Linked DNA regions of Drosophila melanogaster. The protein of the gene in region 1 interacts with the protein of each later gene in a pairwise test. Each region holds a gene or a part of one and is shown on either strand. Other genes may lie near its edges. The genes, in order: CG31637, CG15580 and unc-119.

Region 1 (10,724 bases):
GCACACACAAAAAATGGAAAAAAATATAGACTAGCACACTCAATGCTCTTTCCACACTGACTGACAGACTAGTTATATTTCGGTCAAATGCGATTTGATAACATGTCAGCTGTTTTCGAAAAGAAAGTTCAGATTAATATACTCGTTTGAGCATGAGCTACACTAGCTCTACATGCTCCAATTTCAATTAGCTAGTCAAAAAAAAGAAAACTACTATCTTTATGCTAAGTGTGAATAGTGCACATCTTTTGTTTGTGCCTAGTGAATATATCTACTTCTATAAAGAAATCCATACACCCGCATTGCGCATGAAAACTATTCTACTTGAACGTTCACTGAACTCACGATCGCTCTCTTTCGCACCGTCCATAGCCGTCTCTCTCTCTCTCTCTCTCTTTTTGACAAAACTGTCAAGTCAAAAGGTTCAAAACGAGATAAACGGCCCAGAATGAGGTCTATGGCGCAATGGGCTTCCGAGAACCGGGTCTTACAGCAGCCAAAAACCGCGGGGTCTTGACGTCTAGCGGCTTCTTCTTCCGTCTCGTTCTCATATTGTTTGCTGGCTGTTTTGGCCCGCTTTAAAACGCAGCGCGGAAAAGTTTTTGAGTTAATGGCCACTTTGCTCATTATAAGCCAACTAAAACTGACTGGGCCCAAACTCTTTGTGGCTTCTGCGGTTCTTTCGGCTCGTTCGGCTCTCTTTGGTTCTTTTGCCAGATGTTGAATGCAACTATTTTCGCCATCTTCCGACTGTGCGGCCTGTGGTGGGCGCATTCAATGCTCACAATTTTAATCTACTTGCTGGCAAAAGCCTCTCAAAGTTAGCGGCCACAAAACCGTAGCGCGCCGGGGAAAACTAAATGAAAAGGCTTTTCCAACAGTGTGAAGAAATTTAATAAAACCCGACCTTAAGCTGAACAATTTTCATTAAAATTATGTTTTAGTTACACTTATTGTGAAATGATTTAATAATAAAATAATACAATTTACATTCCGTGATTGCTTCAAACCGTTCAGTGCTCAATGGAAGTAGTAGTAATGATAAATTTTGCAATTCTCGTGACTCATTGACTTATAAATATACAACTGCCCCATTTGGTAGTTCATTTCATTAGCCACATTTTCTTTCTTATCGCAACTGAGTGGCGGGAAGGAGACCATGAAAAATCACATAAAAATAATGTGTGATTTATAAATGAAATGCTCATTGGGCATTAAATTTAAGAGACCGTCCAACACGGCGTATACGCGATAATTGTGGGAAAGCTTCGCCCAGTTTCCCCCCCAAAAAACAAAATTCTGGGCACACCCAGCCGGCACAAGACTTGGCCAATCGACAATTAGAAGCCAAGTTAGCGGTCGCTTAGTGACTCACCAAACACGGCTTTTCGCCCCACAATGCTCGCACTGACCCAAATTGTGGCTAAGTGTGTGGCTGGCTGGGATGATGTTGGCCCGCAGGCAAACATAAATCCAAGTGCTGGTCAGCATTTCCGGAATTTTGATGCATTTCCCAGCGGCCAGCGGCCAGCGGGGCCAAGTTAATAGAGTGTGAAAGAATTTTTACTGCAGTCCGCGAAGGAGAGTACAAAGAATTGAGTGAGAGGCGCAACTTAAGTGCAAAGTGCTTATACAAAGCTAATTTTATGAAGCACTTTTCCATTTGAAATAGAGCTTAAAGTTATCGGAAAACAAACAAAGCTGCAGTTTTAACTACTATCTGCAAGTCTTGGTTACTAATATAAGCACAAAAAAATAAGATAATAAGCTTGCTCTTTTAATTAAGGTAAACAAGTTAAGATAAAAGCATATAGTCAGCATCGAAATGGTTGAAAATAGATTAGGAGGAGGAGTCGAACTAGGAAAACAAAGTTAGCAGGGCAAAAGAGAAATTAAACCTTAAGAGTTTGTAAATTTAGTGACCCAACTTCCGGCTAAAGTATACGAAGTCAGCTCATGATTTAGTGTGTTAATTGTTTTTCGCTTTTCAGAGGAGGCGGAGATGCCAGTAAATAACCATTAAAAGACATCAAACATTTCTTTTGACATTTATGTGGCACTATAAATGACATTTTCCACTCAGACATTTTATCTCTACCAATTCGTGTATTTATTGAACAGAAATCTGTGCACAAATGTCAGATACGTTCTCATTGATTGAAATTGTTTTTTATATCCTTTGCATAACATTGACACAACTCAGCCCACACAAAAGCCGAATCTAATACATATCCAGAATGTCCTTACAAAAAGGAATGATCGGAGCATGTAATCGAAACCACAAAAGCCAGTGGAGCAGGATTGGGTTTGGGGGACTGGGTTCTGGCGGGCAAGGAACCGAAACCCCACATCAATCAAATACATTTTCGTTTTCTGTTTACTTGTTGTCGCTGGTTTGTTTAGCTAGAGATTGCTGTACACTAATTTTATCGATTTCTGCTGCTGTTGTTGGCCGGCTTACATTTTAAATGGGAAATTATGTAAATGAAACTTTTGTTTGCGGCATTTGGGGGAATGCCCCAACGAGATTTCAAATCGATTGTATTGCCCAAGGATTTGCTCTCTGTTTTCACTCAGTCGAAAGTAAACACCCTGAGAATTTCAGGTGATACAATAACAATACAATCTCGAAAAAGTGGAGGCGAAACGATTACAAATTCGGTATCTCAGATTCTAATCACAGCGTTATCAGTTAAGGTTCCCAAGAAATACAATTTAAATGGTAATCCCCACTTTATAAATGAGTGTTCATAGCTGACAAATAGTATTGGGCTTCTGTAAAATTATTTTAATTGTTCTTTCAAATTCGTAAGTTCAAGAAAAAAGTATACCGAAATTTAGAACTAGTTTTTAATCGCTAAATAACTCTGAACAAACCTTCATAGCCTATCCCAGTATCATATCACTATCGTGTTTGAAAATTTCGGAAAGCCCAATAAGTAATTAGGGTAACAAACCAGAACGATAACGTGATAGCAGTTGAAAATTTATAATAAAAAAGTACAGACAATTTAAAGTCTATTGTTGAAAAGTAAGCATTAATGAAACTAATGGCCAAAATGCCAATTGAACCTTTTTTTATACAAGATTGATTGCTGTTTGTATATTTCTTTATAAACTAAGACTAAAGACGAAGACTTTCAATTTAAAATAAACAACATTTTCATATACAATACATAAGCAATTAGATAAGACGCATAAGTTGACTGGCCGAGGAAATTTAACTGGCAAAACTAAGAAAATACTATAAGCATTTGCCTTTCGAAACTTATCACCAATGAGGGCCTTGGCCTGCCTCGAAAGATAAAAATGGGATGCAAAGAAACTGCTGATGCTATTGAATGAAATACTGACTTAGTCTGGATGGGGAATTTAACAAAGCAATAACGATAAAGACTTGCTGCTGTATGTTGCAAACTGATAAATCTATAATTTCATAATGAAGTCACTACGTTTATTGAAACTGATGTGACACGCAAAAGAAGGACTAAAGACTAAGACAAAAGTTGATTCCCTCGATTATTAGATAGTTAATTAGTATTCACGCTTCCGGGTAAGTAGGTAATCATGTGGCATGTTTAAAGACTTCAAATAATTCGGCACGAGTCAATGCAGTAAAGAGCTTTCTCCTAAGACATCACACTCCAGGGTCCCCGAATAAACAATCCGCCTGAGATGCGTTGCATATCGCATGCCAGTTGGCTTTCACTTTCTACCCGGATGTCTGGGCCCACTCACCTTTGGTCCTCGAGCAGCTTTTCGGCCTGGGCGAGTCGCAGGCGGACGGTCTTCATGCTCTGGATGGGGAAGAGGCGGCAGAAGCGCGTGAGGAAGGCTGGACGCCAGCAGAAGCGCGGGAACTCCCGGCAGACGTCCCACAGTCGGGTGTTGTGCTCGAACAGATAGGTGTGCGTCTTGCCGAAGTTCAGATAGTCGATCATGTCGGCGTAGTCGCAGTTGAGCAGGTTCTTCAGGTTCTGCACGGCCAGCTCCTGATCGTCAGGATCGCGGATCTGCTTGATGCCGAAGTCGAGCAGCGGCTCATAGTGATAGAAGTTGCCCGGTATCGAGTTGAGAATGTCACCCAGGAAGGTGGAGCCGGAGCGCCATGAGGTGACCACCACACTGCGCACCGGGGTGCCGTTCGTCTCCGGCGTCATGTCCGTCAGACGCTCGGCGCCGCCGCGCGGATACTCGAAGTTCTCCATTTCGGCCAGGATGCGCGACCGTTGAGCCGACAGGACATCCACTATAGTAGCTGTCAGATTGTAGACGGCCGTCTGCGACGACTGCTGCTGCTGCTGCAATTGCTGCTGGAAGCGATCGTAGAAGGCGCTGCGCGCCAGCGAATTGGATGGACCGCCATCTACGGACGCGCCCTGATCCCGCCCAGCCGACTGATTAAACGGCGTGGTCAGCGGACGGTGCTGGGTGGTGGCGATCAGCAGCAGGATGCACAGGCTGCTCACGCCGCAGATGCCGATCAGATTGGCCCTGCGCGACATCCGGCTGCGGCGCCGCTTTCCGTTCAAGCTGAGTCGCTGCTTAGCGCGTGTCCTGCCGGTATCGACGTTCGACGGGTCCTGCGGGCCAAGCAGGGAGCACGCCTCCAAGTCCGCGCTCAGTTCCAGGTGCTGCTGCTCCTCCGTGCTGCTGCTGCTGCTGCCAATGCCCGTGCTCATTGGTCGGTCGGTTGGTCACTTGCTAATTGCTGGTGGTGATCACTTGTGTGCTATACTCGCACTCGCTCCCACACGCACATAATTATCGGCGCGCCCTCAACTCGAGCGCATTGCAGTTGCTTGCTGCGGAAGTCGCCGCGTCGGAGTTATATCTTTGTTTTCCGTATTTATATCTCGATTTTCCGCGACGCGATGCGAACGAAACGATTGACAACAACAAAGTGACCGTTGCGGGCAGGTGGAAAGATGCCGCGGCGAGCAGTGAAGTCGCGTATAACAACTATATCCTAAATATTCCATGAAGTCACAGTGTACTAGTCACTACATTTGGTGTGAAACCTGGCTGGCCATGTAGCACAGACTCGAACCAATTCGGAGAGTTTTAATTCAGATTCAAAAACATTTTTTTAAAAGCATTTAAAAGTTCTGATGAGCATAGATCAAATTTACATATTTAACCCCTCGAAATATACCTTAAATAAAGCTTTCATATCAAACCCCTGGCCCACTACACCCCTAACATTTGCCCAGAAATTAATAGGCTTTGTCCATAATTGGCTGGAAAGATTCCGGGGAAAAGTGATTGAAGTCCTGAATGGAGCGATACCCCCACAAATCCATTGCCTGACCGCACACGTCCTGTACAGCCCCAATATCGTCCACCATCATTTCGCTTATCCACTCGAAGGCGGACTGGCTGGAAAGCTCCTTCCAGCGGGAGGACTGAAAAAAGTAGCCACTGCGCGGATGCATTTTCTGAATCCTGGTCCTGTTTCGTTCCAAGGGCAATCCGTAAAAGTCGAATACTTGTTTGATACTCTCATCGGGCTGTAGGAACAAGTCCTCATAACGTATAATGCTGTGAAATAGGCATATAAATAAAGAGATATATAAGAGTTACACAAAACCTTACCTAAAACGCTGTGGATAGGCTTGGGTGAGGGTCTCGACCATTTGATAATCACTGACCATGTCGCCGCAAAGTTCCTGTGCCTCGCAATCCCTCTCATCCGAACACCACTTGTTATTCATTCGGGAATATATGGTGCCCCGAGGATCGCGAACAAGCAGCATGATGTTCAGATTTAGGCTAGAAATGTGGAATTTTAAGTAAAACGATTAATTTTCAATAGCTGCCACCACTCCACTCACTCTTTGCGTTCCAGAAGGGAAGCCAAAAGATTCAGCCGCAAGTTGTACACCGCCATGTTGATGAATGGGTACAGCTTGCAGACGGCGGCCATGGTCTCGGGATCCCAGCACGCCTCCTGGCTGTAAGAGCGACAGATCTTGGCCTGTGCGCCATAGAAGCGCCGAAAGACCGGCGATCGCATTCCCCATTGGATCATTTCCGCAGACTTGTTGTAGTCGCAGTTGTACAGCGCCGCCAGTTCATCCAAGGCGCGATGGTGCTCCTTCGCGGCAATGGAACGGCTCTCGTAGGCGATCAGTGGAGCGTAGTGCTGATAGCAGCCCGGCTGATGGGCCAGGTTGTCCAGCAGGGTGAGGGCACCCGATCCCCGGAATGTGACCAGCATTGAGCGGATTGGCTGGCCGCCGGCATCCAGAGTGAGGTTTCTGATGTCGCCCAAGTGGCTGGTGCTGTAGGAGACCAGTGAACGTTGCAGTGTCACCGGATCCGGCATCAGCATGGGCAAAAGGAAGAATATGAAGAGTACGTAGGTCGTATAGACGCCCACGCAAGCGACGGTTAATTTTGAAGTACGCGAAAGTGAAACCATGACTGAAATTTTAAGTTTATTCCAATTTTCCCACTCTTCCAATTTTGTATAATGTCTGAACGATTGAAGTTTGAAGATCTGACAGAAGGTACTGTGCTTCCACGAAGACGATCAAAAAGCAGGACAGGATTTGCAAGAAGGGTTTATCTTGTAACATGCTACCTTTATTGGCATATCATTTGTATTTTATATATAATTTTAATAGTTAATAAATTGTTATTTATCAATAACTAAAATACTAATATTGCTATGTTATAATACGTAAATATTTTGAGTTCCGATTTGTTTAATGTGTATATATATTTTTTTGTAAAAGATCAACTATGCCGCTGAATATCGATAGACTTTTGAAAAACTAAAAGAATTTCGGACTAGGCAACTGCAAAAATATCGAAATATGTAGTGAGAATTACTTGTATAATTTCCAATAATGTCGATTAATAAATAGCAGCATTTCTATCAATGCTTTCCTAAATCTCATACAATTTCTTTAGATTTCTGGCACTAAATGCTATTCCGCAAACATCGAACCTGTATTATGCTTCAATACGTATATATGTCGGTATATCTGTTATTAAGTCTGTTCATTTTTAGTAAAGGCAAGGGTTTCCGATGAGGATGCAAGGATGTGAAGGAGAAATCCTCCTAACAACCGTCTTAGCTGCGGGTTAAGCTCATAAGAATATGGCCAGCTAGATGAGTTTCAAACGTTATCCTTAAATTACTTGGAATATTGAAGTTATGAAAGTGGCTAACTGGTGATCTGATGATTGGAATTAGTCGCGAAATTAAGAATATCTTAGTTTATAAGTAAGTATTTGTTCATGAACAATCGTTCTGCAATAGTTATGCTTATAAAAAAAACTGGGGCACCGGTTGGTAAAAGGCCCAAATATAAACTAGGAATGCGCATTATATTTGGGACTGTTGTCCAACCAACTTTAAAGTACTTGCGAATTAATACTTAAGGTTAATACCATTAATGTCTCTCAAATGTCTTTTGTCTGGTTATCCTAGTCGCTGTTACCCTCCGTCTCGTCGTCCAGCAGCAAGCTTGTCGAACCATAGCTACGGAGTCTGAAATTTAAATCACAAATAGTTATTATATTTACCTAGAATTATACATTGATTAGTAAAACCAATACATGCAGTAAAAGGATTAGTGATGCTAAAACAAATCAAACCAATAATGTGATGAACACAATAACTAACAAAGCATTAGTTTACTCAAGTGATAACAATCGTTTCTGCTCCTCTAATCTCACCTCATCGTCGGACACCTTGAGACCATCTAGATTAATGCTGTTTCTCGCATATCCAGCGCCTGCAGACTGCTCCTTCTCGTACAGCTGTCGGTTTAGCTCATCCTTACTGGAAACGGAGCTGCTGCCTCCATTTGTGGTTCCCTTCAGGGGCAGCGCTAGATTCGCTCGACTGGCACTGCTGCCTGCGCTGCCATAACGTCCGTTTCCGGATCGCTGCCTCTGGTGATGATGATGGTGCTGTCCGTGAGGATTATCGAATTTCTGCTTGGCCCGCTCGAACTCCAGATTCCGTGACTTCGACTCAAATATATTCTCCTCCAGATGCGTGGGCTTGGCATCAAAAAAAGCAGCTGCTGCCGCTGCCGCCGCCGCTGCAGATGCCGCAGCACTACTCTGCTGCTGCTGCAGGAGCGTTCGTTCCGTGTGACTAGATCTCTTTACGGAAGCAGCATGATGCATAGCGGCATCGCTGCCATTGTGGGAGCTCCTCAAACCTGCCTGCGAGTCATCAAAGATCTGGCGAAGATCATTGATATTCGGCAGACAGTCGTTGGGCAGCTCCACGGCAATCTTATTCCTCAATTGCACCCCGCCCATGCCCCGCAGCTGGGGACTGGGAGCACGTCTTTTTCGTTGGGTTAAGCGTGGGTTAGGAGTTAGGTTATTAGTCAAGCCAGCACCAGTTGAAAAGTTAGTGGTTATTAGAGTTAGTCCACAGACTTAGCGGTATGCAAATCTAAATGTTTCTTTCGAACTGATCTTACCTATTCTGGAGGTGCTGAATCTGCACCTGTAATCCTTCCGTCTGACCCACCAGCTCATCGTTGGAACGCTGCAAGCGGCGCACTTGGTTAACGGCCGAATCCAGTTCGTCCTCAGCACCAGCTAACTCCCGCTTCAGCTCCTCCACACGCTGACGCAGACGCTTCACCTGCAGGAAAATAGAGAAAAGTAGTGATGTAGCTACATATGTGGATTCAGATTGGTATATTACATATTTGTTCTGAACGCATAAGATGCATCTGTACCCAAAACTCGAAGCACAAAGAGCAAGGGGGCGTGCCTTCCAGTCTTCAAACACAACTGATAAGCAGACGACCCCCGCCAAGTGGTGATAACGCTTAAAATGGAAAAATATTTCCTTCCACACTCGCTTCACTCTTGGTTTCTATCGTCAAGTGAAATATAAGCGCGATAGTGCGAAAAATTTAGAACCCGCAGATTAAGATCGGGCATAACAACAATATTAAAGCGAGGTAAACAAAGTTGGCGAAGAAGAGCGAAGAGAGCGCGCGAAGAGCGGGCAGCCAAAAGCTCTCGCTGTAGATTTAAGCTTTCTTCAGTCTCTCGCCGAACGTCGAATCGAGCAGCTGTTCCGTGGAGAACCGGCTGATCACTTCCAACAGAAAAGACAGAACCGAATCGGAATTATGATTGCGCAAAGTGTAATCAGCAAACTGCGACCGTGTGCCCGCCGCTTGGCCAGCACGAGCTCCAAAGCCGCAGCTCCCAAATTCAACTGGCAGGATCCGCTGAATTTGGAGAGCCAATTGACCGAGGAAGAGGTGGCCATTCGGGATGCGTTCCGTGGATACTGTCAGGCCGAGCTGCAGCCGCGCGTCAAGATGGCCAATCGCCTGGAGACGTTCGACAAGAAAATTATGGAGGAGATCGGCAGTCTGGGTGTCCTCGGCTGCACCATTAAGGGATACGGCTGCGCCGGAGTCTCTAGCGTTGCCTACGGCTTGCTCACCCGCGAGGTGGAGCGCGTGGACTCCGCTTATCGGTCTGCTGTCAGTGTCCAGAGCTCGCTGGCCATGGGCGCCATCTACGACTTTGGATCCGAGGAGCAGAAGCAACGCTATTTGCCCAGCATGGCGGAGGGCAAGCTGATTGGTGAGTGCCAAATGAATAAAATCATATTTTAATGAAATATTGAGTGAATTATATAAAGTCCCGTAGTTTATATGTGTTCTCTTTAAACGAATCTCAATTTCTTTACATATTTATTCAGGTGCCTTTGGCCTAACTGAACCCAACCACGGTAGTGACCCCGCTGGCATGGAGACCCGTGCCAAGTACGATAGCAAAAGCAAGACATACATCCTGAACGGATCTAAGACGTGGATTACTAGTGCGCCCATCGCAGACGTCATAGTCGTATGGGCAAAATGCGAGGATGGCAAGGTACGCGGCTTCCTGGTGGATCGCAAGATATCCGGCAAGGGTTTGGAGACGCCAAAGATCGAGGGCAAGTTCTCTCTGCGTGCTTCGCCCACGGGTATGATCCTGATGGACGAGGTCCGTGTGCCAGAGGAGCAGTTGCTACCCAATGTGGCCGGCTTTAGTGGACCCTTCAGCTGTCTGAACAACGCTCGCTATGGAATCGCGTGGGGAGCCCTGGGAGCAGCTGAAACCTGCGTGGAGATTGCTCGCCAGTATACACTGGATCGCAAACAATTCGGTCGTCCTTTGGCTGCAAATCAGTTGATCCAAAAGAAGCTGGCCGATGCCATCACAGAGATTGCGTTGGGTCTGCAGGCTTGCCTGCATGTGGGTCGCCTCAAGGATCAGAAGCTGCACACGCCCGACATGATTTCCCTTCTAAAGCGAAACAATACTGGCAAATCGCTTGATATAGCGCGCCAAATGAGGGACATGCTGGGTGCAAACGGAATCAGCGACGAATATCATGTGATCCGCCATGTAATCAACCTGGAGTCAGTTAACACCTATGAGGGCACGCACGATATACACGCGTTGATCCTGGGCCGAGCCATCACCGGACTGGCGGCATTTGCTAACTAATGTACTTGTTTCGAAAATCATAAAGTACTGCATTTACCAATTTGTTTTATGTCGAAGTGTCAATGTGAATAAATGTTAATCAAACCGAATTCGGTTCGGCGAGGAAGGCTGTTACATCTTTAAGTTTTCCTAGGCTGATAAGCTGATACGCGTAATCTGATCCATATATCATCTGATAAGATTTTTGGATGTGGATTTACTCACCTCCGCCTCATACTGCTCGGCTC
Region 2 (10,659 bases), on another chromosome or scaffold:
AAAAATTTATGAAAAAGTGTTCAGTAGGTCAACTCAACGAGCTCCAGGACGTTTGTTGAATACCGTTTGTCACTTTTAATAGTTATTTTGCGTTAGGTTTAACTTTTACATTGTGCAAGGCTATCGAAATCCAAATTAAATCACCGTAAAACTGTAGTGGCAAGTTCAAAGGTAACAAAGTATCTCAGGATGTTGCCGTGAATCCTTTAAATTACTGTTTGTTTTTTTTCGCTCGGTTCAGGTGCTCTCTCTCCTCTTCCCCGAGAGCTTGTTGCGCTTTCGTCTTTTGAATACCAGACCGATTGCGCCAACAGGATCCGGGCTTCATTAGAGCCGTGTTCTACAAATGCCAGCCCGTGTGGCACGCCTATGTCATCTGCTGTGCGCTCAAAAGTATGCCATAAAGTATGCGATGCCACTGCACTGGACGCCGTGGAAGTGAGAGTGGGAGTGCGTGCGTATGCTCTCGCTCTCGCCCCTTTTCCGCCCTTCTCCCACCATTTCTACGACTGTGTGCGCACCTGCCTGCAATCGTAATTTCAATAAAAGTTGTTACGTGCACGTTGAAATTTTAATTGAAAGCCCCAACTACGCTCGCACACTTTCCCTCCGACACACACTCATACGCACTCCCACAAATGCAATCGAACAAACACCTGAGGCTGAGAATATTATTTACAATGCATTTAAAATAATCGATGCTGGTTATTTAAAGACCCAATCAGATGCCGAAAACTATTCAACGCTTATCATTTACTGTAGTCTCCTAACTGATCGAATCATTTGAATGGAGGACACACTATATTAGGCGATTTTAAGCCTGTAAATGATCAGTCATAATAAGCTTGATGTTAATTGATTTTTAAATTAGAGAGTTGAAGTTAAATGATAGTATTTCCTTACCTAAAATTTTGACCGCAACTGTACCCACAGAGCCTTCTGTGTTCTCGTCCTCGGTGTGCGTCAGCTGCTATTCTGCGACCCTCATCAGTGGGGACAACGAGCATGACATTTCAAATGCGTTGCGGCTAAGGAGATTATATTGCATCAGGTTTGATGATGAAAAAAAGATGCGCCACATGTGACTATTTTTGCATGTGTACTACACATGCACCTGTCTTTGGCTGCGCGGTGTGTGTGCAGCGCTTGAAATTAACTACAACATTGCACTTCCTCGAAGCCACAAAGCACGTTGAAGCGAAACATTCGATAGAGCTCAGCTTTCGATTGTCCACATGGGGACATTTCGAGTGCCCTCGTCAGAGATCGGATTCGGAGTGACAAGCGAGAATCGGTGGAACTTGGCCGACTTCACCGACTTCGCAAGGGAAGCGGCAAAAGCCTCGACCGACCGCAAACTAAGTCGTTAAAACAAAGAACCCTATCGGCTTACGGAAACTTTGTTGCAGCAGCAGTTCCAGTCCCGGGATGGCAAACATGTTCGCCTCGGCCACTGCCAATTGCAAGTTTTGCATGTAAAGCGGCAAAAGTTTATGCTAAACTTTTGCCATTTTCCATGGATTCTTTCCGTTTGTCCTTTTGTTTTTGGCTGAATTTTAATTCCCTCCGAAAGTATGTAAATGTTGCCGACAGCCAGTATCGAACGGCTCCGATGTCGTTAGATTTTATGTCGAGTTCCGAAGGGTCTACGTCTCCCCACAGTGCGGGGAACCCATAACAATCTGCATAGAAAGCATGTTAAACACGGCAAAATATGGCCCAAATGAAGGGTTTCGACCGACAAGGAGCTGCGTAAACAAGGCATCGCTTACATCTACGACTTGAGAGCTATTTATCGAGCACTCGACTCAATGCAGCAATAAACCAATATTACCACTTGGTAGAGAAACTGTCCTAGCCTCATCAAATATTTGCGGTACAGGTCTGAGGACAACGTATAACGTACGAATTCCTAGAACTCGAGCATTAAAAACAAATGCAACGTCGTGGTGCCCTTAAAATGATTACTTAATAAAGAGGAAGTGGGAAGTCTTGGTAAAAAATAGTAAACACTATCAAAAACTAGACCAATATGCATGGAAACTTTGTGAATTATGCAAATGCACTCGGTTGCCTCTGGCCTGTCCAGTTTCTCTCTGCTCCTCGGGATCGCGCATCCTGCAGATCCTGTGGGCTCAATGGCGCAACACGCGCTGCCCACTGGCTGAGAACATAATTTTCGCACTGCATCTGCCCGTTGCCTTTAAGTTGAATATAATAACAATGAATTGTTCAAAAATGCGTTTCCAGTGTAAGTTCAATTCTTTAAAATTTAAAAGAATCGCTGCCAGTTGTGTATTCCTTTTTCCGCATATCCCTTGTAAAAAATGGGGATATAGGTTTTCCTAAGTGCACACCCTCAATGCCGGACTAGTTCATCAAACTTTGCTCGAACACAAATGAAAGTTTCGAACCGCAGCCATGAAAGATGCAAGGCGTCTGGCCGTGGCCTACCTGCACACTCAGCTGCGATTGGAGCCCTACATTTCACCCAGTACCTCTGCCTCTGACGTGGGCTTTGTAAGGTCAACAAGCCAAAAATGCTTAAAAAATGCAACCGGCCAGGAAAGCGGCAAATGCAAAAGCAAAGTTAGGGTTAAACTCTTTTGTGGCATTAGCGAAACCAGAGAAGGGAAACTCCATCGTGTCGCGACTGAAACTTACATTGTATTTCTATTTGTGAGGCAGCGTCATTTCCGGTTTAGATCGTCCCCGGAGCCAGTGTTGCAAACATGTTAAGCAATCGCGCCAACTTTTTGGTCTTTTCGCCTCAGGGGAAAGGCAAAACTCTGCCGTGAGACGAACGGCAGCTCGTAAATTTCAAAAATTTGAAAACAACAGCGCCGGCAACATATACTTTTCGCGCGCTGGCCGAAATTATTTTAAATCACCTGCTGCCCGGCATTTATCATCAGAGCCAGTCGGACAAGTCGGACTCCCTAACGACCGCAGCCAGTCTTCAGCTCAACTCCCAGGACGACTACAACGGCAGCGAGATTTGCGAAGAGCACTTTATTTTGGCCAAGCCATTGCCACGCCTCCGTCCCCAAGCCCCCATCCACACTCCATCCACGCAGTGAAGTTTTCTCCACCTAACACCGACCCACTCATAATGTCCGCGCTTCTGATGTTATTTTGCCATTTTCGCTCTGGTTTGCGGCTGGGGGAAAACTGTTTTGTTATCACGGTGATAAATGGAAAATTATTTTGAATCGAGCAACTACTTAAAAGAATTCCCAAAGGTTGTAATAAATTTTGGGGCACACACATACACACATACATTCACGTCCGAGAAGGACATGCGAGGAAGGACAAGTTGGTAAGACCGAATCCGAGTTGAGCTGGCTTGGTAATGTCCTTCCAGATAAAAAGGTGATTGACGAAGCGAAAGCAAAAGTCATGGTCGAACTTCCACTTAGCAATGCAGTTGTCGTTCACAGAAAAGGACCAACGACGATGTCGGTGGTTGTGTTGTGTGTAGTGGTGGGCTGGATGGCGAATTTCGTCCTGGCATGCACTTAATTTGTACTGGGAGCTGGGGACCTGGGGCTCCTCCACTTGCTCTGAAGAAATACTCCAAGTTGAGCATATTCACAAAGCTTTGCAGAGCCAGGAATGCTATAGGTGCACACCGTGCCAAATTATTTCCTTACAACTTTAAAACTAAACATTTTATTATATGATACATCCTGGAATATAGCCCACATAGGTAGGAAGTAACAGCTCTTCCGGGAAAATATTATAGCTTATCAACAGTACCACTATAATTAAATAATAATAAATATGCATTAAAAATATAAATATTTTATATGTCCTGGTCACAAGAATTGATACAAAGTCGTTTGGTTTTCTTAAGTGCAGCGTCTTTGTTGGCAGGAGCAGCTACATGCACTATGGAAACCACTTCCAAACTGGGGGCCATCTCCGATCCAGGCACAAAGGCACCCGGACAGGACGAGCACACTCAGCGAGCAGCTCTAACAACATCTATTTTTATTTCATTAGGTAGAAAAATAGCCGGCAAGGTGAAGCTCCTGGCAGCTTCGCCATCAAAACAAAGCGCTGAATATTGGCCAAAACGGAATGGAACGGGGCGGGCGAAGCGGGGCTGGCCACAAAAAGAAACTGCTCTTCGCTTCTCAATTAGGTTAGCTTAATTTAAATTTGCTTCGAGTGCTTGGCAAGTGCTTGCGAGACATTAGCAGCAAATATTAGCAAACGCTTAAAGAGCGCCGTAAGTGGAAAATATCTTAGGCGAGTTTTCTTAAATTAGCCGTTGTAAACATTTGTTACGCACTCGGGTCGGGATTTAGAGTGTCTTAAATGAAAACCGGACAGTTTTTAATGAGGAAGTACGTTTGGCAGGTGCGAGATAACTAAAACATAAAACATGTTCATTGGAGTATGAAGATAGACAAACGGCACTTCCATAAATGTATTAAGGTGCACTGGAACACATGGGTTAAAACCATGTTATACTTATCGATCACTTTCAGAAACAAACTTCAAAAAAAAAGACTTTCAACGCACAAACAAACATACTCGAAAATAACTCCATATGGACTTTGAAGATGATGAGGAGGTTGTGCAACCGCACTATGCTCAGAAATTCCGGGCTCCCACCGATCCCCTCCTTCTGGCCACATATGAGCTTTTTAAGCCCTCTCATCAGACCTTGAACCTATACAGCGAACGGAATCGCGAGATTTTTGCGGAGGCCTTTATAGAGGGAAACTTGAACACTTTAGTCAATCTGAGCGTAAAGAGTCTGGCCAAGCTGGGCATTCGAGGCATATCTCCAACTTTGCAGGCGAGTCCCCAGCTTATGAGGATATTTTACGACGCACTGGATGTGGAGCTGCCTTTGAGGTATGTAACGAAACGGATACAAGTATTTTCATTACATAACCTATAATTTAACATTTGACGCCACTAACTTTATATCGTTATTTACTATGGTTACAAACCCTAATAACTTTATATATATTTCAAAGAGATTGCTATTTGATCGAGGATCAACGATTTTGGCGACGCGTCGTACTAAGCAAGACTTTGGACAAAACGTTGCACCTGAAGCGCTGGAACGAGTTCGACTGGAAGGCTGAGGGTGTGAGCCGGAAGTTTGTGGAGCAGGTTGAATCATGTCCTGTGAACGTGAAGCCGCAGAGAAGGCTGGCTCAGTTGGCTGAAATTGTTTGGCAGTATGTCAACTCCATGCACATCCGCAAGCTGCAAGCTCTGCCCGACTATGCCTTCATTAAGCACTTGGAGAGCGAGCCTGAAGAGGATATATCCTCGGAGTCATCCGACGAGGAGGAGATATCTAGCGATGAGCCGGATACGGAAATGGACGAGGGCGAGGAGGAGCACAAGTCTAGTAGTTCCAGCAGCGAGGCAGCTATTACTTTCTGGCGTGCGGAAACCGAGAACGAGGACACAATTCGCCGGAATGCGCGACATCTGCGCAACGCCAACCGCCAGCAGGCTCGGGATGCCATTGCTAGGAAACGGGAGGATCGCAAGGAGCGCAAGAGGAAGCGCCAGGAGAAACTGGACGCCTTGAAGAATGCGGATCAATCGGGCAAGAAAAAGAAGAAAAAGAAGAAGGAACCGCCCATTCGAGACGTGTTCAGCATAAACGTTGCTCCAGAAGAAGGTGATGACGAGGACACAAAACCGGACAAGCGCAACAAGCAGCTGCTGCTGGAGCGGATCAAGCGGTATGACTATCCGGAGGACCATTGTCATCACATTGATCTGGGATTTGTACGATATTTTGAAAATATGATGTCTCTGACGCTGGAGTTTTTGGGACCACCTGATGTAAAAGACTATCAAAGGTAAGCTCTTAAATTAGAATGTTATGGTAAGAAACAACATCGAAGAAGTGAAACGTGCTGTACACGATTTGTATAACATGTTTTCTCTGAGATAAATGGAACCAAATAAATACATGTGAAGTAGAGTTCTAAAAGCGCCAAGAGTCTACAGCTGCATCGCCTACCACCAGCATTTAAATTAAAATTGCTAGCTTAAACTTAACTTAACTTGTACCTTACAGCCGTTATATGAAGTTCTCAGACAGTGATATGGTTCGTCTTAGCAAAGGTCTGAAATACTTACCGAGCCTCAAGACCTTCAGGCTTCGAAACAGTCGCCTGAGTATGAAGAAGTTTCGTATCCTGACCCGTGCCCTTCAGAACTTAGACACCCTTGATGAGGTGGATTTTGGTTATGACCAAATGACGGATGAGTGCAGCGAAGGCCTGGCCTATTTGCTAAAGCGCCCTTTGATGTACCGCAGTATCCAGCTGGAACACAACAAATTGGGCGCCAATTGTGCAATTGTGCTGGGCGAGGCGTTGAGCCAATCGCAAGTGGGGGTTTTGGAGTATCTGGGCCTGGCTCACAATCCGCTTAATGAATTGGCCCTGCATTCGCTCATAACGTGTATTATCGGAACCCCCCATGTGTGGGCCCTCAACATTTCGGGGATCAACACCACCCTGGGTTCGTTTTCCCGTGATATAGGAACCCTCCTGCGCAGCCACACTCCTCTGATGAGCCTCGAAATGGCCGCCATCAACATTGGCATCTCGCAAGGGAATCAAATACTGAGATCCCTGGAAAAGAATACCCGAGTAAGTATAACATTGAATTAGGTTGGATCGCTGATAATGACCACTTTTGCGAAAGGGGTGCTGAAGATCATTTTTAACTGAGTATTGAACTTACATTCCTATCCTAAGATCCTATACGCCGACTTCCGGGAATGTGAGCTGAGCTTCGACCAGGAATTCGAAGTGGACATGATAGTGCGTCGGAATAACTACATTCATGAAAACCTCCACCACGGCGAGAATCTGTGTAAGGTGGTCAAGGAGCGCCGCCATCCGATTGTCCAGCGAATCGAGGAGGATTTCGCCCGGCGGAAGGGGTGCACGGAGGTGCGGCCGAAGTTCTCGAGCTCCAGCAAGGAATCCATTCCGGAGGTGGTCGTTGAGAAGAAGGAGGTCGAGGAGGAGGGCGACATCTGGGCAATGTTGGCTCGGTGGAACCAGCCGACAGCGCCTGAAGTGAGGGAATCGCACACTTCAAAGGATTCGCACCCCTCTCAAAATGGAAAGACAGAACCATTTGTTTTCGAACCCAACAAGTTCGATCTGGACCAGTTCCGGAAGTCTGTCTTTCTGCCAGGCCCTGGCAATCGCTTTTTCTACCTGCAAAGGAACAAAACTCCCTAATTTGTAGCCCTTTTCACCACCTACAATTGTACATTGCATAACATTGTACTCTGAGTATATTTTCAAAGCATTAAACGCACCACTTAGCAGTCCAACATAGTCCCTATCATTCTCGAGGGCTTGGAATGTCATTCGACCTAATGGTCACTTTAAACCTTCGCCATAAAGTGCCGCGCTGGCATAAACTGAGATCTAATTAAGTCGCTGGCAACGTGTTCGCCTTGGAGCCACGCCCACAATTCCGGGGGCCACACCTCGACCGAAGGTCATTGCAGAGCACAGCAAGTGCAACAAAGTTGAGCAGTTTGCATTTAAGCAGCGGAGATTTGGGCAACAGTGTCTCCAATTTAATGCCACTTCCCCTGGCTACTTCTGCCTTCCAAGCTCCACAGTCAATTCCATAAAATCGTGGGCGTACACTCGGAAAAAATAGTATAATTTCCATGTTGATAAAACAAACTAGAAAGCACTTAAAACACCAGTCCTAAAAACAGCATGTTAAATCCTTTTAACACTTTAGTTAAAAGAATTTTTCAATTCATATTACTTCATTTGAAGACTTAATTTCCAATGTTAACTAGCGGTGATTTTATTGGAAGGCTTCATTTCTTTTAAAGTTTTTCTAAACAAGATATATCTGCTTTTTCAGTGCAAAGAAAGAAGCTCGAACAGTGCTTAGAAGTTCGTCTTGTTAACAAAGCCAAACCTCAGCGAGTATAAACAAATTAATGCATATGCCGGTTCGCCTGAGGTAATGTGTGTCTATCTTGCAATTGGGAGACGTTTCCAGGGAAGTGGGGTAACATATATCGAGGGGGCTAAAGGAAAGGAAGGAAAGCGCGGAGGGGTTGGGTATGAGTTCACGGCCCCATTTTGACAGGATCCCATGAAAGATATATGTGCGCTGGTAACTCAACTTATCAACGCGCCGAGCCACAAACTTTTCTCATCTACTTAACGCAGATAAGCGGCTGCCTTTTCGCCATGTTTGGCTTCTAATTTGCCCAGCCGCAGATACACATTCATAGACCCAACTGATGGTGTTAACTTAATTTTCAGCCAGCACTCGACTGGAGTCCGTAAGGGCTAAAGTAAAGGAAAGAGATGGGCCAACAATCCGGCGGAATCGGAGTCGCCTGACTTTTTCAGACTTCTCTTGTGTGAAATAAAATTAACTAAATACGCTCACGAGTAACATTCATAATAAACATTAAGCAGCAAGGGCGAAAAAAGTCAAATAAATATAAAAAATAATATTTGCCAGACGACTCCTTTTTGCGATTACGAGGCGACGGCCGTGTGGCCAGCGTTTTTGGGTTTTGTCGGGTTGTGGGATCGGGTGAAATTATGGCATAAGTTACTTAGGAGTAAAGCTGGTTTCCTGCTCCTGCTCCTGCTTCTGCTCCCCGGAACTTCCCCACCATTCACAGCCAGCCACCCACTTTCCAGCCCCCCGGCGGAATCAACTTGGCTACACTTTACTTTTATGTGGCGCGCTCGGAATGTACTCGCTGGCGAAATAAAGATACAGATACAGAGATACGCAGAGAGTGCCCAGATACAAGCACATTTGTAGCGATAAGCGTCATAAAGTTATCGTAAGTAAGCGCCGAAAAAAGTCTACGAAATAGATACAAAAAAAAGACGGAAGCATGAGCTTACAGTGGGGCTTGGATTTCTGATCCTCTACCAAAATACAGTGAATGCTAGTGTTTGTTGAAAGAAAACGAAAGCCTTTAGTTTAGGAAGTGGTCATTCCTGAATACATCAAAATGTAAAATATATATATATATATAAAATGAATATAAATAAGTGTATAGAAATTTGCCAACATTTATTGTTATTTTTTTTTACCAATTACTTATTATCCTATCTGATCTTATCTTTCCATTATTCCACATTTCAAACATCATAATATATTTTGGGGCAACAAACATGCAATTGTAGCTTAAAGAAGTTTGCCAAACGCCTCACCAAGGGTATTAAAAGTCAAGAAGGAATCGCAACGCAGCCACAAGTTGAAGGCATCTTTGGACTTGGAGGGGCGGACACAAATAAAACTATGACAAGGACGTAACTTTTAGCACTCCCATCAGACATTCTCCATTGGATCGGGCTTGTGGGGTCCAGCAGCAAGTCAATTACGCACTGCCAGCCAAGTTTCGCGCTTTGTTTCTCCCGGATTTGTCAGTTTAATGAATGCTTTCCCAGCGAATCGACGTATCTGCTAAATGGCGGAGGGGAATCCGTGAGATTTATTCTCCCTGACTGACCGAAGCGTGATAAGTCCGAGCAGCTGGCTTCTTTTAAAGTACCCATCAAATTTTGCACTTGTTGAATATTTCAGTTATATTTAATTTTCATTTACAGCTTGATATGGGGTCAAATATTTATGCTATTAATAGCAAACCCCTCCCGTGAACTAAGAATCAAATCCAATTAGTGAAATAGAGTTAATCATTTAAACCTATTGTGGTTTGGGAAGGAATGGTTTTCGCCCATTAAGCCCATATTAAATAAGCTTTATATTTTATTTTACCTCAAAAGTGTGGTGCTTTTTAAACACCCAATTTCTTAACGAATTAAAATAGTTTTATTAAGCCGTTCTGGTTGATAAGCACGTTCGAGGCCACCACTTTAATGTGACGATGAATGAGTTAATTGCACAGCGGAATTTAAGAAATGCCTCACATATACTGGCAAACAGATTGCATCCGAAGGATGCCAGAGTGACTCAAAACTTATTGCATTGTCTTGGCACATCGTTAATTTGATGTGTACATTAAGTCGGTGTAATGGCGATAATCTGCCGGGGAATTAATTTAAATCGGTGCACCGAATGGGGGCTCGGCATGCAGGCACATCAAAAAATCAAAAGGGAGGCCTTTGAGAGCAAGAGAAATCTTTACAATTTAATTCACTGGACCCATCAGCAGACCGGCAGGGACCATAAGCCTTCAGTTCGCTGCCAGTCGTTAATAAAACAACATACAAACATACATACATATATGCCTTCGCCGATCATTCACATTGGAGCACTTGCACTTGCATATATGTATGGTCCCGAGTCAAACTGTGCTTAAATGACAAGCGGACATGCATAAGTGACAGTGAAATGTTGCACTTGCAGCTGCATCGCAAATGCATCGGTTCGGTTGGCCCTCCAACTGGGATTCTGTAATCGCTGGTCATCCATTCAGGTAAATAAATATGCGCTTTAATATATATTCGCACATCTCGCATATGTGTGTGTCCACGTTGCAAGTTGTTTTCACTGCCGCTCCGCTTGCCTCTTGAAATGATTAAGGAAATGCGCAAATATTTCGCGTAAATATGGCAATTCAAGTTCATTTTATTTGCAAGGCAACACCTTTAGCAGGAATGAACGGCAAATAGGCCAAGAGATTTTCACTTG
Region 3 (11,092 bases), on another chromosome or scaffold:
TCAGACCGAGGAGCCCATGTCACTATGGTGTACAATACTATGCTATACGCAGTGTGTCAGGGGGGAAACGCACCCGAAATACTAATTATGGGTATGAAATCTATGGGGCGTCGTCATAAATCAAATTCGAATTCCGTTCGCAGGCGTTACATTGGCACCAAATAGTAAGTGTTTTCGATCTAAAACCGACGTACCATTTCGGTTATACGAAAGAGAAAGGCAGAGATTGTAGATAAGAATCGGATGGGATCGGATCTCTGTCGCATACCAAACACTGGACACCGGGAATGATTTGTGCCCAAGTGTCCCATGTCAACGGGCCATCGCATTAGTGAAGGCAAAAAAAAAAAAGAAAACCCCTTCGCCGAAGATCGTTTTTGAGATTTAGAAAAAACCACCCATATCTTTCATTTTGATTTGTGACCCTTTGTCGTGGTAGGGGGATTTAAGATTGGTCCTTTCTCAAAGTCGATAGGATGTACTTGTCTTTTTGGTTTGCAGGATTGCATTTATGATACATAGTTTAAATCCTATGACTACATGCTGAACATATTATAAGTTTCAGTTCAAGATTGTAGCATTGTAGCATGGTTAGCTTTTTAGGTCTGGTATTCCATATATCCCCCTGCTGTTTTCGGTCCCCACCTCTTAAAGCACACTTCTCCAGTGCCTACTGTACGTGGGACATCCAACTGAGCTCCGGAATGGGGTTTGTTTATAGGGCTGGGGTCAACTATCTATGTAAATCCAATTTGGGTCCGATAACGCATGTGCGCTGAACATATGGGGCATAAAGCATGCTGCAAATGCAGCAGGCGGTGGAGAGGTGGTTTTTTTTTTTTTTTGTCGAGAGGAGGTGAACAAATAAAATTTTATTCCTTGGGAGGGCATACAAATAAACTTTCTGGCCCTGCTTGCGGACAGACATTATGTGCGCATTATTTCGAATATATGTATACATATATAGATTAATTATTTCCGAATATTTATGTGTGTACGTCTTTGTTTGGTTCGCATTTGGTTTTTTAGATTGGGAACAGATGCTTTGGTATTTTGTTTTTTTTTTTTTTTACCAAAAAGTATATGCTTATTTGGATGTATTTACTTGTCATTTTGCTGTACAGAAAGTACTGAACGTTATAAGAATTTCTAGCAGGAGAATAACGAATATTCAGGCAATTAAAGGCACTCCGGGACTTGAGCACCGGGTTTCCTTTTCCTTCTGAAGGTCAGAGTTTCAAAAGGGAGCAAGAGCAACCCTTTCAAAGGTAAAGTTCAAGCTCTACAAAATGTGCCCACTGTACGTGTGACTGTGAGTGTTTGCGTATGGGTTTCGGTATGGGTCTCGGTATGGGTTTGAGTTTGAGTTAGAGTTTGAGTTTCGGTTTTGGGATACCTACAATCCGACAGTTCCAACCGTCCCACAATAATGCACTCACCAACACACCAACGCCAACCCATCGAGAATCCATATCAGCATGGAGGAACAATAACAAAACGCCGCAATAACAAAACATTCGTGCCCGGGACAAATGGACAAACGGGCAACCGAAACGGACGGAAAGTTCAGACATGCACACTGGCACACCTACGTTCTTAGAACTACAGGCATGGACAAGAAAATAGGTCTAAGATATTTTATTCAATTGAGATAATACAATAATAATAAGGGTTAAGAACAAGACAACCAGGCGGTACAATCCAAAAAATATTTGATAGTTTATTAGATATTAAAATATTAATTCAATTGCGATGAAACAGGAAAATTTTAAGACAACCATCAAAATTCTTATAGCTTATTGTTGTTATTGAAAACTTCTACTCTTTGGGTGCTATTTAAGTGGCCATTGGTGTGCACTTGCACACAGACGCATTCACCATGTATAAAGGCAGGCCAAACAAACGCGCACAGAGGCGTCGCAGTTGACCGAGGCAGCGACGCGGGCAGAGGCGTCGGCAGAGTCAGGCCAGACAGTCTGTCGCCAGAAAAATCCACACTCACACATGCAGCACTGCACTCACACACACACACACACACACACACACATAGACGGGGCTTGCACTGCGAGAAAAGGGGGGTGTGTTACAAAGGGTATGCCAAAGTTGGCCAGCGGGGTGGGGGGAGTGGTCAGCGAAGGCGTCGACGTCGTTGTCGCTGCCCACTGTTGTTGTATCTCGCCTGAGAAATCGCTCGAAAAGCAAGGCTCAAAGCTAAATTCCATTTAGATTATGCTCTGCGGCTCTTGTGCTTCTTCTTCTTCTTCCTTTCGTTGCACTCAGAAAAAATGTTGATATTACGCAACGTGCAACTACACCTACATCTTTTCATAGAGTGCACGCAGTTTTAAGCATTTTGGTTTTTAGTTATATTCTTTATAGCTGAAGTGCTACTTTTTATTAGTGTAGTAGTATCATCGTGTTTTGTTCAGTGTATCAATTCGTGTTGTTGTTGGCGCTTTTGACGAACTGAACGCGTTGCTTGGGAGGTGTTACTCTATGGAGTGTGCACACACTCACACACACACACGCAATAAACCCCAGCAAAACACACTCTCCGAAACGGCCACTCGATGTGGAGTATGTGTGTGTGTGTGTGGTGTGTTTGTATCTGTGTGTGAGTGCGAGTGCAGTGTGCATTGCATTGCCAGACCGTCCGGCGCGCATAACGTCATCGCCACTTGGAATAGGGTCAGTGGCGTCTTCTGCGAAGGGGATTTCTTATAAAAAGGCACACAAAACAGGCTGCGCAGACGTAACATTTTCCCAAGAAAGTATGCAGTACTTTATAAAATGTGAGCAACGTAATACTATGACCATAAGATCCCATTTATTAGATGCAACAAGCTTTGGAAAATATTTCTAGCCCCCTTTTTTTGTGCCACGCCCCTGTTCGGCCATTCGAGTACGAATATTATCGCCCACGATTTTTGGTTTTTGTTGCTGCTCTACTGTTTGTTTTCGATACCCAGGCACACAGACGCACACACAAACACGCATTGAAGTACACAGGAGGGGGTACTTGAGTTCTATGGCTCGAAAAGTTCTATGGTCCGTCCGTGAAAGAAAGAAATATTCAAACAAATTTCATCAACTAACAATCGAACGTTAAGTTTCATTTGCTATGTAAATGTAAATCGATCGGTGATAAGTCGGATGTAGCTACTATTTGGAAAAGCTTATATACATTAGTATGTATATAAATTCTGAAGAAAACAGGTTAAGTATTTTTGGGTTACCATCCTCTGGGCGAATAAAATTATCCTTAAAAGTGTCCTTTGATATAATTGAATAATATAGAGTTAGTACTTTTAAATTGGCCACCTGCTGCAGTCATTAAAAATTGGTTCGAAAATATTTAATCTCATGGAACAGCAAATTTAACTCAAATGAAACCGAATCCTGCCTATGGCATTTGCGCTGATACAAAAGATGGATTATCCCGCGAATTCCTTGGATCTTTTGTCGACCCTTTCGGCCTGTCAGATGGCATATTCCTCAGGTGCCCGGCTGTCTGCAGATTTTATGTGAGTTTTTGGGGGATAAATCAAGTGAGGGGCGGCGGTGCAAGGGGGGGGGGGTCAGTTTGGAGATCTCCAGTCAAACTGTACTAAAGATAGAGCCGAACACGTTCCCAGTGCTGCCACACAGATACACACCAATACCAATGTAAGAAACAAAAAAAAAAAAAAAAACTACAAAAAAAAAATACAGGAAACGCGGACGCCAATGGAGAAAAAAAAACAGGGGCAGGGGCAGGGGCAGTGGACAGTGGACGGGGGATAAGTGCATATGTGGCCCCTGAAACTTAACACTTCTTTGGCTCCGGCTGCGAATATTAAAATACCCACTTAAGGCCAACAATAACAGCGGCAAGAAGCAGAGAAAATGTGAAAAGGAGGAGCTAGAATTGAACTCAAGTACTTTCGTCTCGCACTGAAAGAAAAAAATACATTTATGTATGAATATGAAAAAAAAAACTATCTTAATATCATAGTGCTATTTTATTTACATGAAATCTATAAACTAAAATAGCGACTCACTAAGCGTGAAAAATCGAAATAGATCTAAATAATATTATAGCCAGCATTTCTCGCAGTGCACAAACATGATCTGGCATTGGCGCCCGTGCGTCTGAATATGGAAATCGAAATGGGTCCGAGTATGGGTGCGTTGTATATGGAATGGGATGGGATGTGGATAGGAGGACACTTGAGTTTTAGGCCGGGCTTATCTGCATTCTAGGCGAAGGGAGGGGAAGCGAAAGGAAAGGAAACCACTCGACGGCGCACTTGAGAAGCGGGAGAAGCAAGCGGCAGTCTGCTGCATGGATATTAACTAATTGTCGGCCACAAAAATGCATGGGAAGGCGATCGCAACACGCCATTTAACACATTTGCACGCTTCCAAAGTGTTTCCTTTTCGAATTTGCTTTGTATATAGTGGTTTACTCTGGCGAGTGACGGGGGTATATGCATTTTATTTTTTAGTTTGGGTTTTCAATTTAAGCTTAAGATGTGAAAATCTATACTTATACTTGTCTATACTCATTATTTCCGATTAAGCTTTCTGCAAACGTTCGCTTACTTTCGGTTATACAATAAATAATGTTAAAAATCTGAATAGCCTTTTTTCTAGATGTAAAATGTAGAATATTTTGAATATTGCGCCAACAGTGTGACCCCTGCTAGAACGCAGAAATGTTTTTTTGCGAGTATGTGGCAACGTTGGTCGTAAGTTTTTCCCCATGCGCGAACGGTCTCACCGATTTCCTGTAATGCATCATCGATAATCTATCGATTGCTGAGTAGTGCAAAAAAAGTGGGCAAAAAAGGTGCAATGTTTAGCGTTTAAGTGCGTTAAGTTGCTTTTGCGGACGACAACAACAACACCAGCAGCATTGCCGGTCAAATTGATCTAATTGATTTTCGGGCAGTGCCAACAGCAACTAAAACCAAATTAATAAATGAATCCCTGCGCATACATAAACATATAAAAACACACACACACACACATACATTCGCATAAAGGACGCGAACCGAAAAGGGAAAAACAAACACAAAGGAAAAAAAAAGGAAAAAGGAGAGCGCAGCTTTTTCAGAAATTGGGTCATTTGTTGTTGTTGTTGTTGTTGTTGCTGCTGTTGCTGGTGATTTTCAAACGAATTTCATTTGTTGCTGTCGTCGTCGGTTCGGTGTTGTTGTTGTTGTTGCTGTTGTTGCAATGGTCGTGGACGTTGTTGTCGCTGACAGCTAAATGTTATGGCAACACTTGCAACCTGAATTCGTGTGGGTAAGTAGTGTTTGCATTTATGTTGAATTTATTTTAACTTATATACCTTATACTTAACTTATTTTTGTGCTTTTCGCCAAATAACTATTCATATTTGGCAAAAATTAATAGTGAGGAGCGGAAAGCGAAAGGATAATAGGGTAGCGGAGACGAAGCCTTATATTTCCACCAGAAAATCCTGGCACAATTTATGACAACTCTACACTTGTGTGTGTTTGTGTTGGTGAGTAACTTAACAACTATGACTTCTTTTTTTTTTTTTTGCTATGTTAAAAAAAAAATGTGATATTTCATTATTCAGTTTAGTTTGAAGTAATAGAAATTCAAAAGTATTTGTGCTATATTTTATTATTTACTCCCTAATAACCAATGCCTATTCCTTTCTATTCGCAGAGTGAGACAGCGGAGTAGCTTCTTCAAATCAAAGGATACCACTGCAGCAGCCATCCAGCCAGGAGCCTTAAAAAAGCTGTTCAGCTTGAGAAATCCGAAACGCAGACTATAGACAAATAATACCACCAGATTCATTCCGTGCACAATGAGCGTGGTGGGTAAGCAACTAAATCCGGTGCAATCCTCCGGTGCAGGCGCAGTGACAACGTCTTCCTCCGCGGCCGCAGGATCCTCTTCTTCGAACAGTGGAGTGGAGGCCAACGGCGGCAGTGGAGGATCGTCGGGAGCTGCAGCAGCGGGCGCTGGTGCCTCCGGTGATGCCAAACGGCCTGCGGAGTCTTCCAGCGTGACTCCCGACGAGGTGCTCCATCTGACCAAGATCACGGACGACTATCTCTGCTCCGCCAATGCAAATGTGTTCGAGATTGATTTCACGCGGTTCAAGATTCGCGACCTGGAGAGCGGCGCTGTGCTCTTCGAGATCGCCAAACCGCCGAGTGAACAATATCCGGAAGGACTGTCCTCGGATGAAACCATGCTGGCGGCTGCCGAGAAATTGTCACTGGATGACACTGCCGATCCAAATGCCGGACGCTATGTGCGCTATCAGTTCACACCGGCATTTCTCAACCTCAAAACAGTGGGAGCCACGTAGGTTATACAGTATTTGCATTTGTTTTAAATGCCTCTCAATTTGTAAGTTTCCCTTATTTGCAGTGTGGAATTCACTGTGGGCAGCCAGCCGCTTAATAATTTTCGTATGATCGAACGCCACTTCTTCCGCGATCGCCTGCTAAAGACGTTTGACTTTGAGTTCGGCTTTTGCTTTCCATTTTCGAAGAATACGGTTGAGCACATCTACGAGTTTCCTAACCTTCCACCCGACCTAGGTGAGCAATTTTTACATAATCCCAGCCAGCATGACACGCAATTGAAAGTTGCTGCCAAAAGTTGAAGGGGTTTGTGGGTCAAGGTCGTTTACGATTTGCGCCTGTGAGATGAGGCTTCTATTGGTCAGATTGCGAGCAGCTATCATGGTTTTTATTTTTTGTTATCGGTTTGTAGGATGTGGACTTATTAATGAAATGCAATTCACATAAATATGTTCGTTCGTTTTCCATTTTTTTTTAGTTGCTGAGATGATATCGAGCCCCTTTGAGACGCGCTCGGACAGCTTTTACTTTGTGGGAAACCGACTCGTCATGCACAACAAAGCCGACTACGCCTACGATGGCGGCAATATAGTCTAGAAACTCAACTATAATGGAACTGCAACTAGAGCAAAACTAATAACTAAAGAACTAGAAACTACAGAAGCTGTGAGACAAAATCAATGACTTGTCACACACACACACACACGAAACACCCACTCAATGTCAACAATCACACTCACAAACACATCGAATCGAATCGAGGAATATTATCACAGCCATTTTAGCCTTAGCACACCAAAGTTTTACCCACCATTCCTGTTTGATGTATTTAGCATCAAGATATGATCTCCTGCAAACGGAAACTAACACACAAACACAACAACAACACACTGAAGCACGCGGATTGTGTTCATTTATCAATGATTTCCACTTTGACTATATAATTTTAAGTGCTATGTGATTTCCCTTGATTTATATATGTATTTGTACACACTTATTTAATCCTAATAAGTAAGGACACTCCACACACACACCCAACAAGAAACAACAAATACATATATATAAAATACGTACGTATACACACACGCACACACAGAACTTATGAGAAGCGAATTGGAAATTTTCAAAAAAAAAAAATTGAGGAAAATCCATTTGCCGTCAATTTTTGTATGCAGCATACGAAATCATACGAAATCTATCAGCTTCTTCATGGCATTTTTTTCGTGTCTGTGTATGTATATTTTTTAAACAAAAACCAAATGGAAAAAGACGAACGTAACTGGAAATCCAAAAAAAAAAAAACACTAACGATTACACGCCGAACAAGAATGATAAATTAAATTACATTTTAAATGTACATACACCACTATAAATTGAAACTTTTCTAAGGGGGTTAAATCGAGGGCATTTCGTGCACTAAAGGTGCTTAAGAAATTTATTATATTCTGAAAAATCATCAAGTTCAGAACGCTTATATCAAAAAAAAAAATATATATATTGCTATCCCGCTCTTTTCGGTGAAGATTCTTGAAGATCTGCGTAGATCGTTGAAGAATGTCTTCTCGAGTTCTGAAGTGAAATTAATTTGAATTCCCGTTCCCAAGAAAAACAAAGCGTTCACTTTCCAATTTAGCTAAAGTCGATCTACGCGATTGACTTCTTTGTACATTTGGTTAAAATATCAAAATTTGGTCTACTCAGTTCTATTCAGGAACTCGCTGACTATTGTTAGAAACTCCTGCGGCTTTTCAAAGTGCACTAAATGTCCGGCATCCAGCCAGTGGATCTCAGAATTGGGAAACATTTTCTGTATCTGTGGCCATTGCTCGCGTCTAATAAAGATGGCAAAAAGATTCAATTAGTTTAGTTTACTTAGCACCTCGGGATCCAAGTTACCTCATGTAAGGTGATCGCGTGCCGCAAATGAACGTAGTGGGTCCCGTGTACGGCGGCAGTTCCTCCAAATTACTCTGATATTTGTCGAAGCGGGTGAGGAATTCACGAAGAACATGGGCATTGCAGGCCCAAGAGAAACTATAGGAAGATTATCTCATTTTAAAGCGGTTCCCAAAAAAGGCCAAATACATATGTGGCAAACTTACGCGCCGGTGTCAGGATTTTTTCGGAGATTCAGCATGATAAAGTCAACGGTCTCGTCTTCGGTGGCTTTCAGTAGTTTTTCCCGTGCAATTTTCCTGCCCTCAGACATGGACATGCTTGGCGAAAGGTCCAGGGAGACCATCGCGTCGAAAATTTCCGTCATCTCGCCCGTGGAACGGGGCACGCTAATTGGCGATATGTCCACCACTATCAAACGTTCCACCAACTCGGGCTATGATAATGGAAAAATGATTGTTTAACATTTAACTCAGTTTGTGCATAAGGCGCAACACTTACATATTTTCGAGCGAAGTACATCATGGACCTGCCGCCCATGCTGTGACCCATGCAGGCGGCATTCGGATGACTGCGCTGCTCCATAAACAAACGCAAATCCTCGCTCATCGCTTTGGAATTGTGGACACTCGAATGTGGACTCTCGCCATGATTCCTCACATCGATGGCGTACACCTGTAGGTTAAAATAAATACACATTGGCTTGAGCATTGATACTTTGGCTAAACGCATAAATTGGTAAGCTCACCTTTCGGGAAACTTTTCGCACCAGAGCCTTGCTAATTCCTCGCCAATTTTGCTTGGAACCAAAGAGTCCATGATATGTGAGCAGTGGTGGACTCGTCTCTGGATTCTCGCCGGTGTACGAATCGAAGCTTAGTTCAACGGGATCCGGTATTTCCGAGGAGTACTCCCTTCTGACCACCAATTGGGTTCGCAGGATCTTTCCCGCGGGAAATGGAAGTGAACGTAACGATTTCGTCAGGCGCTGCATTTGGTGGCCCCAGTGTGTACACACGCCACCGGCGGGAAAACTAATTGGGCAGTGGTATGTTGCCGCCGAGGGGGGTTCGTTGCTTTGCTAAAGTTGCGTAATTATTGTTAATTTGCAGCAATTTCGATAAATTTCAACATTTTGCCAATTGTGTACGGAGTCCAGCTGACCGGTGTTTTATTTTTCGACAACATGTAGTTTGGCAATTGTCAAGGGCGTAGATGAAAAAACTAATTATACAAATTTTAAGTCATGAATATAAATATACAATATTTTTTGTAGTCGTTGAAAATGGTTTGGTTATAAATAGATTAGAAACACGTTTTTCTTATAAATTTATCTTTGACAATTAACCGTTATCATACTCTGTAATTTTTTGCATACACCTAAGCCATTTTATCATAAATAAGCACATAAAATATGTGCAAGTATTTACCAAATATTAATGGGGCTCTTAACCCCTTACGACCCCTTCCAAACGATGGCTCTGTTGACAAAGTGGCAACACTGGCGCGCAAATATCTCGATGCTAGCCATGGCATGAACCATTTTGGATATTTACTTAGTCATGTCTGTGCGTCAGCCACATAAGCTAAGATAACATCACCGACTAGGCACGCACGCTTTTCGCCGTATTTCCGGGCACGCCATGCACAGTCACACTGGCAGCTGCCATATTCTTTAGGCAAACGTTTTCTGTCGGAAACAGTTTTTTCATTAACACAAAAAAAGGCATCCAGAGCATTTGCTGTAGCACAAAAACATCGAATTTCCAACGCTACCAGGTAAACCAGTCGCCGCCGAGCCGCCGGAAAAACGGGCTTTCCAGTTCGTCTTTAGCGGTAAAAAGATTGAAGGAGGAAAGCGCGGCGCTGACGTCGGCAGCGGTAGAGGCAGCGCAGCGGCGCTCTTGCTCGCATTCACACTACTCAAACATAGGTAAGCAGCAACAAGAAATCAAGCATATTGTCAAAATCAGAGCAACAAATTGATATATTTTCAAGTATTCTATTTTTCCCCTCCAAAAAAAAAAAAAAAAAAAAAAAAATGAAATGAAAACTGAACTAGAGAATGTAAAAAAGTTAAGTTGCAAAAGTAACACAAAAAACCAGTTAAACGTTCAAGTAAAAGTCAGTAAGTGAATAAAAGTGGTTAAAGTTGTTAAGAAAATTCAATTTCGGTCGCGAAAAGTGCGAAAAAGTCCGCAAAAATGCAAATACTTAACTCTCCTCTGTGTGTGCGCCTGTGTGTGTGTGCGTGTCCTTAACTGTGTGTGTGAGAGGGAAAGAGAGCGCCAGAATAGAAAGAATTTTTCAAATTGCACTGCGCTTACAATCTCGCTCTCCCTCGCTCTTTGTTGTCCCTCGTTCGCGTCAAGAAAATTAATCAAAAATAAAGTATAAAGAGAAATAAAAAAAGAAAAAAAGATACTGGCACACACACAATATAATCAATTAATTAAAAAACATAAAAGCTTATAAAAGAAATGAAGGTAAGAACCCCACTAAAAGTTAAAAGCAAAAAAAAAAAAACTTATTCTGTCATTCCCACAAATATAAAAAAAATCCTATATCAAAATCGATTGTTATCGCGTTATCGGAGCTATCGGCATTTGTTTGGGGGCTTTTGACCTTGACTTTCGTTTCTATCCCCTTTCTATTAAGGCCATCCCCTATCTGCTCCTCCTCCTATTCACAATTATTAGTTATCGACCCAGTGCGATGCTCGCCTCGATTATTGCGATTACATAATATTAGTTCTATCGATTTTCTTATCGATTCTTTTGTAATTGACAATTAGAATACCCACGTGGTTACAATCAACATGAATCGAAACTGGACAGACAAATGTCTTTATTCCTTGCCGA

What was found.
Region 2: the proteins of CG31637 (region 1) and CG15580 interact in a two-hybrid assay, tested with the Drosophila melanogaster proteins (one large-scale study listed by BioGRID).
Region 3: the proteins of CG31637 (region 1) and unc-119 interact in a two-hybrid assay, tested with the Drosophila melanogaster proteins (one large-scale study listed by BioGRID).

What each region holds. Positions count from the first base shown.
Region 1 is NT_033779.5:6,492,834-6,503,557, reverse strand, and holds the start of CG31637 (uncharacterized protein), read right to left. Parts: upstream 4,912-10,724; 5' UTR 4,683-4,911; coding exon 3,739-4,682; intron 1-3,738. Other genes in the region: CG9550 (uncharacterized protein), read right to left, coding at 5,217-5,541, 5,596-5,772, 5,835-6,424; CG9547 (uncharacterized protein), read left to right, coding at 9,120-9,585, 9,704-10,497; CG31638 (uncharacterized protein), read right to left, coding at 7,493-7,501, 7,690-8,314, 8,454-8,620, 10,702-10,724.
Region 2 is NT_033777.3:6,051,390-6,062,048, reverse strand, and holds CG15580 (uncharacterized protein), read left to right. Parts: upstream 1-4,512; 5' UTR 4,513-4,558; coding exon 4,559-4,869; intron 4,870-4,994; coding exon 4,995-5,840; intron 5,841-6,061; coding exon 6,062-6,641; intron 6,642-6,749; coding exon 6,750-7,244; 3' UTR 7,245-7,337; downstream 7,338-10,659.
Region 3 is NC_004354.4:7,284,986-7,296,077, reverse strand, and holds unc-119 (unc-119), read left to right. Parts: upstream 1-4,779; 5' UTR 4,780-5,285; exon of another isoform or gene 5,286-5,289; intron 5,290-5,400; 5' UTR 5,401-5,512; intron 5,513-5,682; 5' UTR 5,683-5,827; coding exon 5,828-6,333; intron 6,334-6,399; coding exon 6,400-6,572; intron 6,573-6,813; coding exon 6,814-6,932; 3' UTR 6,933-7,711; downstream 7,712-11,092. Other genes in the region: CG2059 (uncharacterized protein), read right to left, coding at 8,029-8,167, 8,232-8,369, 8,438-8,667, 8,733-8,906, 8,980-9,225. UniProt on the Drosophila melanogaster protein: Myristoyl-binding protein that acts as a cargo adapter: specifically binds the myristoyl moiety of a subset of N-terminally myristoylated proteins and is required for their localization.